Oryctolagus cuniculus: one gene and its partners. The protein of the gene in region 3 purifies or fractionates together with the protein of the main gene of each other region. This does not show direct contact. Links are inferred from orthologs where the notes say so. Each region holds a gene or a part of one and is shown on either strand. Other genes may lie near its edges.

Region 1 (3,649 bases), on a different chromosome or scaffold from region 3:
TTTAAATGTTGGAAACAATCATTGTGACACCTTTAGAAAAAATGTTTTTTCTTACATAGAAGCATCTACAGAGATTCTATAGGTGTCATGCATTAAAATCTATCCTGCCATAAATAAAATGTCCTCTATCAATAATACTCAAGTCTCAAAGGATTATTTTCACATTTCTCATTTGTTACATACATGTTTTACTAAGGTTTTTGTTACTTCGAATAATATTTTTTCAAAATTAGACTGGTTTCTCATAACCCAGAAATTATTTTCAGTGTTTGAATTATTGGGTAAGAATTGAGAGATCTTTGATGAAGAAAACCAAACATTTCATTATTGGCTAGTTTTTTCCATGTGTGTAGCGATGATATTTTGAGTGGGGTAGTGGGGTGATAAGGATGCAGGTTTCAGAGTCTGATTACTGCAGCCTCACCAGAGTCCTTGTCAAGTTGTTTAATCTCCCAGTATCTTAGTTTCCTTATTTGTAAAATGAAGGCAATAATAATACCTTCTTCCCAGAATTATTGTGAAGAATAAGTAATAAGGAAAATGCTACTAAGCCTGCATATAGTAAACCCCTCAGAAGTATTAGCTGTGCAGATTAGAATGAAAAATATTGAATGTTTATATGTTATTTTTTTTCCCTAGCAAGCAGAATTGAAAACACAAGGGAAGAAATCCATGAAGGTGAAAATCAAGATATTTGGGAACAGCAACAAATGAGGAAAGCAATTAAAACCATACAGGTAATAAAAAGTATACCAGGTGAATTATGTTTCTGTAGCTGCTATAACAAATTAACACAAACTCTGGAACTGAAAGCAATTCTCTCCCACAATGTGGAGGCCCGAAATCTAAAATCAGTGTGTTGGCTGGGCTATGTTTCCTCTGAAGGCCCTGGAAAAGAATACTCCCTTGCTTTTTCCAACTTCTGATTGCTTTACATGGTCCTTGACTTGTAACTTCATAAGTCTTTTTCACTACTTTTGTCCTCACATGATAACCTTCTCTGTGTCTGCTCTGTGTATTTTTAATAAGGACGTTTATGATTGGATTTAGGGCCCGCCCAGTTAATCCAGGATGATTTCAATATCCTTCACTTAGTTATAACCACTAAGACCCTTTTTCCAAATAAGGCCATATTCACATATTCAGGGTTAAGATTTTGGTGTATCATTTGGAGATCACCATCCAGTCACATCTCACCACACTCCTTTGAATTTGCTGGAATACCTTCTAACACCAATTGGGAACCATAGGAGCCAGGAGCTACTTTTGGGTCTCCCACGCGGGTGCAGGGGTCCAGGGACTTGGACCATCTTCTACTGCTTTCCCAGGCTATAGCATAGAACCGGATTGGAAGTAGAGCAGCCAGGACTTGAACCGGTGCCCATATGGGATGCTCCCTGCAGGAGGCGGCTTCACCTGCTACACCACAGCGCCAGTCCAAAATCTCAGGCTTTTATCCTCAAGTATAGTTCTTGTTTGTTTTAAAGCTCACACTTGCTTAAACTTTAATTTTTTTTCTATTTTTTATTTTTTGACAGAGTTAGACAGTGAGAGAGAGAGAGAGAGAAAGGTCTTCCTTTTGCCGTTGGTTTACCCCCGAAGTGGCCGCTATGGCTGGCGCTTTGCGGCCAGCATGCTGCGCCGATCTGAAGCCAGGAGCCAGATGCTTCCTCCTGGTCTCCCATGCGGGTGCAGGGCCCAAGGACCTGGGCCATCCTCCACTGCACTCCTGGGACACAGCAGAGAGCTGGACTGGAAGAGGAGCAACCGGAACAGAATCCGGTGCCCAGACCGGGACTAGAACCTGGGGTGCGGGCGCTGTGGGCGGAGGAATAGCTTAGTGAGCTGTGGCGCCGGCCCACTTTCTTAAACTTTAATCACTCACTCCACACAGTATAAATTGTCTGTTTTTATAAAGTTAAAAATGATAGGGTCCCCAGAAATGGAAGGTGTTTATAATCTTCTGGAAAATGGACATAATATACACAATACAGCTGTCTTTTAAGAACATTGCAAGCAGGGCGATGATGAGCTGTGATTAGCCAGAGGACACTAATGTGAAATACACCATGTTACAAGATGAGAAATGCACCATGTTATCAGTGAGAAATGCATTATTCTGCGAGTACCAGAAATCCCAAATAACAGTGGCTTAAAGAAAAGTAAGAACTTTACCTAGAAACCTCCAGCATACTTAAATTTCCATTTACTTTTCATTGAATAGAATGGAGTTGGAGTTAAATGGCTTCTTCTTTTTCCCTTCGTTTTTTTTTAAAGATTTATTTGTTTGAAAGGCAAAAATAGAGGAGCCGGGAGTGGGGTGAGGGAGAGAGAAAGATCAAGAGAGATCTTCCATCCACTGACTCATTCCTCAAATGGTTATACCAGCTGCCGCTAGGCCAGGCTGAAGCCAAGAGCCAGGAGTTTCTTCCAGGTCTCCCTCATAGGAGCGAGGGCCCAGGTACTTGGGACATCTTCCGCTGCTTTCCCAGGTGCATCAGCAGGGAGCTGGATCAGAAGTGGAGCAGCCAAGACTCGAGCTGGTACCCAAGTAGGATGCCAGCACTGCAGGCAGAGGCTTAACCTTCTGGGTCACAGCTCCAGCCCCGATTGCTACTTCTGTAATAGAAGTAAGTGTGAATTTAATCAGACAGCTGTTTGTACCACAAAAAATAACACTCACCAAAGAATGTTGCTGCGTCAAAAACTGCACAACTTTCTTTTTTAAGAAACATTAGATTGTAAATAGATAACTTTAAAACCTTGAGGACTAGGCCAGCGCCGCGGCTCACTAGGCTAATCCTTCGCCTGCGGCGCCCGCACCCCGGGTTCTAGTCCCAGTCGGGGCGCTGGATTCTGTCCCGGTTGCTCCTCTTCCAGTCCAGCTCTCTGCTGTGGCCCAGGAATGCAGTGGAGGATGGCCCAGGTCCTGCACCTGCATGGGAGACCAGGAGAAGCACCTGGCTCCTGGCTTTAGATCAGCACGGTGTGCCTGCTGCAGCGCGCCAGCCACAGCGGCCATTGGGGAGTGAACCAATGGAAAAGGAAGACCTTTCTCTCTGTCTCTCTCACTGTCCACTCTGCCTGTCAAAAAAAAACAAACAAACAAACAAACAAAAAAAAAAACCTTGAGGACTAAACTTTTGAAAGACCAGGTTTAAATTTACCACTTACATATGAATTTAAAATTCCAAATTTTAAAAATGTTTTCATTTTAAAAAGATTTATTGTGACAGAGGCATGGGATTTATTACAGAGGCATGGGATTTTTGAACTGTAAGAGATCTTGGATTAACCTGTCTCCTTTGTGCTACTGATATTTGTAAGGTAAATTAAATGATTTCTAAGAAATAAATTTTCAAATTATTTTTAGAGAAGAGAAATAGACCTTTCCCACAGCGGGGCATCTCAAACTAAGAAGTTTGACACTTCTATTTCATTTCCACCGGTAAATTTAGAAATTATAAAGAAGCAGCTAAATACGAGGTGAGTAGTACTCATTTTGAAATTTCTATTTATCTTAGAATTTTAACAGTGAGAGCACTATATTATTTTAAATTAATAAATGTGTTTGCAAGAAAAAAGTGTCCCCAGTGTTGCCATACTAACACAACCGATGGCATTTTTTGTCTGTGTATTATATGGTGAA
Region 2 (3,649 bases), on a different chromosome or scaffold from region 3:
GGCCATTCTCCACTTCTTTCCCAGGAGCTTTAGCAGGGCGCTAGATTGGAAGTGGAACAGCCGGGACTTAAACTGGTACCCACAGGAGATGCCACTGCTGCAGGCTGTTTCTTAATCTGCTGCACCACAGTGCTGGCCCCAACATGTACATTTTGATCATAAAACATAATAACTTTTATTGGAAATAAATTTCTTAATGATATGGATGGGTTGTTTTCCCCTCATGCATCTATAGATAAATAAACTTAACTGAAATTCATTAGGGCTCAGCACACGTTTGTTTTCAATTTTACAAATAGATGCAAGCTTGAGAAATGCTAACGTCATAAAGGGGAAGATGAGAATGGAAGGATTTTGCAGTAACAAAACCACTGATGTGAATTTCTGTGTTGTGCCGAAATAAAAAACATCTGTGAGATAGGAAAAGACCAGAAAATATGCTGATAACCTTGCCTGGAGGTTTTTGTGCCTTCGGACTGTACAGGGGGTAGGGGGTTGGGAAGGAAAAAAGAAATGGCTTTTTTGACTAAATGGGAGGACAGAAGTTGTACAGATACTAGGGGACAGGAGACCAGACCACTGTGCTTGCTTCTCTCAGTTTAGGAAAAGCTATATTTCCAAACATCTGGATGTTTATGCCTTAGAGCCATCTATATCTTTATACTCCGTGGAAAGTCTTTAGGATACAAATACCTCAGTGTGAAGGAAACTTTTTTTTTTTAAAAGACTTATTTATTTATTTGGAATGCAGAATAACAGAGAGGAAGAGACAGAGACGTCTTTGATCTGCTGGTTCACTCCCCAGATGGCCCTGATGGGTGGATCTGGGCCCAGCTGGAGCCAGCATCCAGGAACTCAACATGCTAGTCTCCCACCTAGGTGTTAGGAGCCCGAGTACTTGGGCCGTGTTCTGATGCCTTCCTCGGGCACATTGGCAGGGAGCTGGATCGGAAGTGGAGCAGCCAGGACTAGAACAGGGTGTCATAAGGTGCTGCTTAACCCACTGCACCATGTCTGTGACCGCAAGAAAGCCTTTTAAAAATAGGATCTCTGATTATAAAACAGGAGCCAATCCAAAATGCACTGTTTGTGTTAGGGAGTAGACGAAGATCTGCAACTTTGCATATAGTACCTTACTTATAAGCTGGCATTTGATAAAAAGTACATGATAAGTGGAAAAAGAAATCAGATAATTGTCCTTCTTTCTGTCGCAGTCTGATTGGGATTTTAGTGCCCTTGACTTCTCGTCTTGACTTTCTGGGACATTGTGCTCTGTCGGACTTGCTTGCATTTCTCTGCTTTTCTCTGTGGTGTACTTTGCAAGCTCCTTTTTCTTAACCCATTTTTTAAAAAAGATATTTATTTATTTATTTGAAAGGCAGAGTTACAGAGAGGCAGACAGAGAGATCGATCTTCCATCCACTGGGTCACTCCCCAGATGGCCGCAACGGCTGGGGCTGGGCCGATCCGAAGCCAGGAGCCAGGAGCTTTCTCCAGGTCTCCTGTGTGGGTGCAGGGGCCCAAGGACTTGGTCCATCTTCTACTGCTTTCCCAGGCCATGGCAGAGAGCTGGATCGGAAGTGGAGCAGCTGGGACTTGATGCTGGCACTGGAGGCCACGGCTCTACCCACTACGCCACAGCACCAGCACCGTTAATACATGTTTTCAATGTTGATGTTTCTTAGGGCTCTGTCTGAGGTCTCCTGCCATTCTGTGTTGCAAGTCCCCAGAGGCTGTCCTGGCCTCTGTTGTGTCAGTTACTCTCTCTGGTTAGTTAATTTGAGAGAGAGAGCAGCAAGCGAGCACATGGGGCGAGAGCACTCCCCCATCCACCTGTTCACTTCCTAAATGCCTTCAGTGACTGAGGCTGGGCTGGGGCTGAAGCCAGAAACCAGGTCACCCACATTAGTAGAAGAAACCCAGTCACCTAAGCCAGCCCTGCTGTCGCCCACGGTCTGCATTAGCAAGAAGCTGGAGTCAGGAGTCCCAGCCTGGCATCCAGCCCAGGTGCTGCAGGGTGGGATGTGGGCCGCCCGAGCACAGGCCAGGACCTGCCCCTGCTCTGTGCCTGTCTGCAGCCATAGCCCAGATGGCTCTTCGGAGCCCTAGATGAAAATACCCAGTTTTGCTTTTTTCCAGTTCATTCTCTACATGGCAGCAGGGGAGCCTCACTAAAAGTTTGAATCTCATGTGGTGCCCTTGCCTGAAGTTCTCCCATTGCTCTCAAGGTGTATGGCTGATTCTTCAATGTCAAGTACAGGCTCTTTGGATCCTACTGTCTCTCAGTCTTCTTAGCCTTATTTCTGGCTCTTCTGCCTATGCTGCATTTCTTTTTCAAATACTCATATCTCAAACGTGTGCTTCTCCGTCCTGGTCACTTTACCTGGTGAACTGCTTTTCAGTTGTGTGGTCTGAGCTTAAAACAACACTTCCTCAGATCCCTGCCTTGAATCTCCAGCTAGGTTCTATCACGAGCTCAAATAGCACAGTGTGTTTCCTCGGTTGTACAGCTCACTACACTTTAATTACCTGTGCCTTTCACGTCACTTCTCCTGTAAGCATAATGTGAACCGGACTCAACCTTGTGGTGGCTCTGCTCTCTTTACCCCTTGTGCCTGACACAGAGCGTGTGCACATTCGATGTCTCCGAATTAGTTAATGCATTTGTGTTCTTGGTGCTGTGATCTCAGAGTGAACTCTGTTGTTCTCTGTAGAGCCTCAATGAAATCTTGGAGTCGGCTGATGCGCCTTTAGAAGTCACAGAAGGATTCATCCAGTCCATCTCTCTGTCGGTGCCATGGGGCTCCTTGCTGCAGGATAACTGTGCCCTGGAAGTGAAGGGCTTAGAGATGGTCTTCCGGCCGAGACCGCGCCTAGGTAGGTGTGTCCCGTGCCTGATTTACTTCATTCTTAATCCTGCGGCGATTGGGAAAGCAGCCCAATTAACATTAAATTCATTTTTGATCTGATGTGTTATCTTGCACTGTACTTGTGAGATTTTTGGTTGGTAAGATATTAGGACTTGGCTCTGTGTAGAATGTCTGTGATCATACACTTAGAGTTTTTTTCTCTATGTTTATTCGTAGGAAGGTTACTCTATAGATGACTTGGTGTGTGCAGGTAGCTGATACCTTGTGTTTTTAAAGATTCAGAGTATTGTGCCAGAAGCAAGGAGGAATGCTTCAGAACTAGGGGGGTAATGTTAAAGGGACAAAGCACTGGGCTTGAAAGGGCTCACGCTGGACAGGTCAGATGGTTTGAATCTAAAAAGGATGACAACAGTCATGAATCATCAACATTCCAGAAAAACCCTCATTCCATACTGATATGGATACATAGGCATCTACGGGGGCAGGGAGAAGGGAATTCTCTTTATAGTAGAATACCTACTTGTAGGGAAAAGACTGGCAGACAGTTATATGGAATTGAAAAAGTTAGGTTACTGGAAACCGGGCACCCTGATAGATAATATGGACATTTTTTTTTTTAAGATTTATTTATTTGAGAGGTGGAATTACAGAGAGAGATAAGGAGAGACAGAGAGAGAGAGAGAGAGAGAGAGATCTGTTATCTACTGGTTCACTCCCCAAATGGCCACAATGACCAGGGCTGGGCCAGGCCAGAGCCAGGAGCTTCATCTGGGTCTCCC
Region 3 (3,649 bases):
GTGGAGAGAGAGGGGCAAGAGTGAGGCAGGTGGCAGGTGTGACAGAGAGGCGCCTTCAGAAGGGGGTGGGGGAGGTGCCGAGAAGACTCCCCTGGACAGTCAGTGCCATTGACTGTGCTTCCGGTGCCTCTGAGAGTTGTCCCGGCACACCTGAGCTCGCCTCGCCACTGCCAGTGACTGGGAACGCGAGGATCCCTGTGTGCAGGGTGTTCAGTGCCCACTCCTCCTGCACTGCAGGCGGCGGGAGGGCGGGGGTGGCCTTGGCCTTGAGCTCTGCGGGCAAGCAGGTGCTGGACCTTGTGCTTACAGAGGAGAAGCTGCTGACCGACAGCATGCTGGTGGAGGCGCGGGAGGCCTCGGAGGAGGACCTGCTGGTGGTGCACACGAGGCGCTATCTCAACGAGCTGAAGGTACGAGAGGGAGGGAGGGCCTGGCCTCACAGGGCCCCGAGAGAGAGGGAGAGGGAGATCCTAAAGAGATGAGCTCCAGGGAAGGGTGAGGTGCCCCACGGGCGATGAGCTCCCTGTCGGTAGCGGGGATGAAAGCAGGGATGTCACAGGGGCTTTGGGCTTCTGTGCGAGTGGGTTTTGATCTGTGCTCTGGACAGGCCTCGGAGACCCCTGCTGAGACCCCTTGTCCCCAATCCCACCAGAACTCTGCTGCTTTGGCCCAGGGCCCGACAAGGAGGCAGAGCAAGTTGGGGTGGGGTGCAGGGAAACACAGAAGTCTTGCCCCTTCTCGGGGAGTGCGGGCAGCCGTGGCTCCGCTCCGCATGGGCCCAGTGTGGCCAAGCCCTGGGTTTTCACAGAGAAGGCAGAGACCCAGGCTACTAAGCGGCATTTCTTAATGTGGCAGCTCCTTGTAAGATTTTCAAGTCCCTTCTGCAGACAGAACGAGGCCCACTGGCTGCCTGCGCGCTCTTTCCAGAGGTGGCTGCAGACTTCGGGGGGGAGGGGGGGCACTTTGTCCTGTTTGTGGGAGGGGGGCTGGGCTGGGGGTGTGTCGGAATCTGCCAGGCCACCCCAGTGGAAGTGGGTCCGCTTCCTCACTGGGCCCCCCATAGGCTCACTCCCAACCCCAAGGGAAGCCAGGGGTCACCAGGCCCCTGAGCTCCGTGCACAGAGAAGCCAAGGCTCAAGGTCACCGGGGAAGTGGGTCAGGCCTGGGGGAGTCTTCAGGTTCCGGGTCATGGCGGCTACCCTCCTCCTCCCCGCACCCCCGCCCCGGCCTCAGCTGTGAGAATTCCACACGGAGCTTCGAGGAGCTGAAAGATTACCAGGCAGAGGCTGGAACTGGCTCCCAGGAGGGAAAGGTGTGTGAGGCCTTGGCAGGAAGCCCAGTGCTGGGCTGTGCTGGTTTGCTGGGGCCCAGGCATGCGTGGTCACAGTCCACAGCCAGGATGAGCGGCCGGCCAGAGTCCGGCGGTGGGGGGAAGATGGGCAGGGAGGAAACAGAAGGAAGTGGAGCCCAGAGAAGACTGGGGGTGGGGGCGGGGCTCCAGGGCCCCACCCACCTGAGGTGCTTTCTGGAGAAGTGTTCAGGGCAGGTGCGTGCCTGGCCTTAACAGCCTACTGTGTGAATGTGATCCATAGCAATAGTTTTTTAAAAAGTACTAACAGGCAAAGCTCCAGGCAGAAAACGGAGGTCCAGGGTAGGAGGAGAATGTCGATAAGTCAGCTGGAAGGGTTCATCCGGATGGCGACCCAGATGCCCATTTGGCTTGGAGTTCTCTGGAAGCCAGAGCGAAAGGAGAAACTTGTGCGTTGCCTTTTCAGCCACCAAGATGAAGGAGTCTGTGAACGTGTGTGAGCGCACAGGGAGACTCCGATGGGGGCTCCCTGCTCCCACAGGCCTGCATTTGAGTTGTGGAAGACGGACAGTGCATTCCAGGGAGCGCCCAGGGCGGCCAGGCACAGGGGAATCAGCAAGTAGCCGTGCAGAGGTGGCGCGTTCGGAAAGCAGCGGTGGGTGACGCTGTGAGGGCGCCTGCTCCAGGCGCTCACCCCTGGCAGGGGCTGGCAGGCCGTGGGAACAGTGCGTTTGTCCAGGGCAGAGGCCGGTGACGTGGTGCTGTTCCTGTCACGCCCACGCACACAGCTGGCATCTGGGCTGCAGCTCTCGGCCCCTCCCTCACACCGACGATGAGGGTGGGTTTCCTGGGGCTGCTGCATGACCTGCACCCCTGCCCCACCCCCACCCCCACCCCTGTCCTGGGGTTCATGCCTGGCCCTGCACGGGTGTGGCCTCCACACCTGACTAGCAGGCCATGGAAGAAGCCCTAGCTGCATGTTTGCAGGGTGTTGCCAGGGCAGGGAAAGAGAGTTGAACACCTGCTGTGTGGGGGCCGAGAGGGAGCGCTCAGCACCGGGCTCTTGTCTCAGGGCAGAGACAGCCGGCCCCGGGGCGCACCTGATGTCCTGCCCCTCTGCCCAGCAGCCCGGGCCCTGTGCCCAGTCCCACCCACGTGCTATGAGGACAGGGTGGGACAGCAGACCAAACCCCTCTCCTGCTGTCCACACTGGCATAATCAGTGCATAGTGGCCCAGGGGGCTCGAAGGGGCTGAGGACCACGAGCAGAGGAAGGGGCAGGGAAAGGGGGTGACAGAGCTGGCGGGGGTGGGGCACATGGCAGTCTGAAATCCGAGTCCGGAAGGGGCGCCCTGGCGGGTGATCAGAGGCGATGTAGAAGGGGTGAGGGAGCGGGCGGCGTGGCTCTGGGGAATGATACTCCAAGCAGCAGGAGCAGCAAGTGCAAAGGCCCTGAGGCAGACACATTTCCCAGGTGTTCCAGTGATAGAGGGAGGGAGGCTTCCCCTCTGCACCTGGGTGGTAGAAACCCCACCCCGAAGAGTCTCTGGGGGGAATCAGATCCTGGGGTCCCTGACTCTCCTTCTCCAAGAGCCCCCTCTCTCCTTTTCTTCTGTTCTATTGTGTTACAGTTTACATAACATAAAACTAGCCGTTGGCTGCTTGAAAGTGTACAGTTCAGTGGTGTTCAGTCTGTTCACGACTGGTGCAGCTGCTGCCTCTGGGCAGTGCCGGGACACTCCCTGCACCCTGGAAGGAAGCCCTGTTCCCAGCAAGGTCACCCCCCAGCCTCCCCTGCCCCGCCCCAGGCATCACACAGCTCCCCGTCCCTAGGGATGCGCCTCTTCCGGGCGCTTCCTGTAAATGCAGTCGAATCTTCAAGATCCCCGGGGTCCAGCGGGTGTCAGCGCCTCAGTCCTGCTCACGGCTGCACGGGGTCCCCCAGATGGAGTCTCCTGCATTGTTTGCACCTGAATTGGTTTCTGGGTGTCTGTGCTGTTCCTGCCGGTGTGTCCATGTGAGCGTGCATTTGTCTGCTCCCCTGTTTGCGCTTCTTGGTGACGTAGTTGGCCCTGTGCATGGGTGGGCCCTGCGGCATTTCAGCCAACCGTGGGCTGAAAGTATGTAAGAAATGATGGGGCTGTCCTGAGCGTGCATAGGCTTCCCTCCCCCCGCCCCGTCACTCTCCCCTGGACAGTACAATAGAGCTACTGTCTCCCTAGCACTGGCCGTGCGTTAGGAAGCGCAGGCCATCTAGAGAGGCCTTAAAGTACGCAGGAGGATGTGCCTGGGAACTGCAGATCTTACGTTTTATAGAGAGGACGTGAGCACCCCAGAGCGC

Evidence for each region. The genes of interacting proteins can lie anywhere in the genome.
Region 1: the proteins of HDAC11 (region 3) and GCFC2 purify together in Homo sapiens (co-immunoprecipitation; 3 studies listed by BioGRID and IntAct, counting the BioPlex papers as one, with this or other methods). This does not show direct contact. The link is inferred for Oryctolagus cuniculus from reciprocal best matches to the Homo sapiens genes HDAC11 and GCFC2.
Region 2: the proteins of HDAC11 (region 3) and ATG2B purify together in Homo sapiens (co-immunoprecipitation; 3 studies listed by BioGRID and IntAct, counting the BioPlex papers as one, with this or other methods). This does not show direct contact. The link is inferred for Oryctolagus cuniculus from reciprocal best matches to the Homo sapiens genes HDAC11 and ATG2B.

What each region holds. Positions count from the first base shown.
Region 1 is NC_091433.1:127,149,905-127,153,553, forward strand, and holds part of GCFC2 (intron Large complex component GCFC2), read left to right. Parts: intron 1-639; coding exon 640-737; intron 738-3,373; coding exon 3,374-3,486; intron 3,487-3,649.
Region 2 is NC_091451.1:40,743,711-40,747,359, reverse strand, and holds part of ATG2B (autophagy-related protein 2 homolog B), read left to right. Parts: intron 1-2,714; coding exon 2,715-2,877; intron 2,878-3,649. UniProt on the Homo sapiens protein: Lipid transfer protein required for both autophagosome formation and regulation of lipid droplet morphology and dispersion.
Region 3 is NC_091441.1:108,657,304-108,660,952, reverse strand, and holds part of HDAC11 (histone deacetylase 11), read left to right. Parts: intron 1-309; coding exon 310-410; intron 411-3,649. UniProt on the Homo sapiens protein: Responsible for the deacetylation of lysine residues on the N-terminal part of the core histones (H2A, H2B, H3 and H4).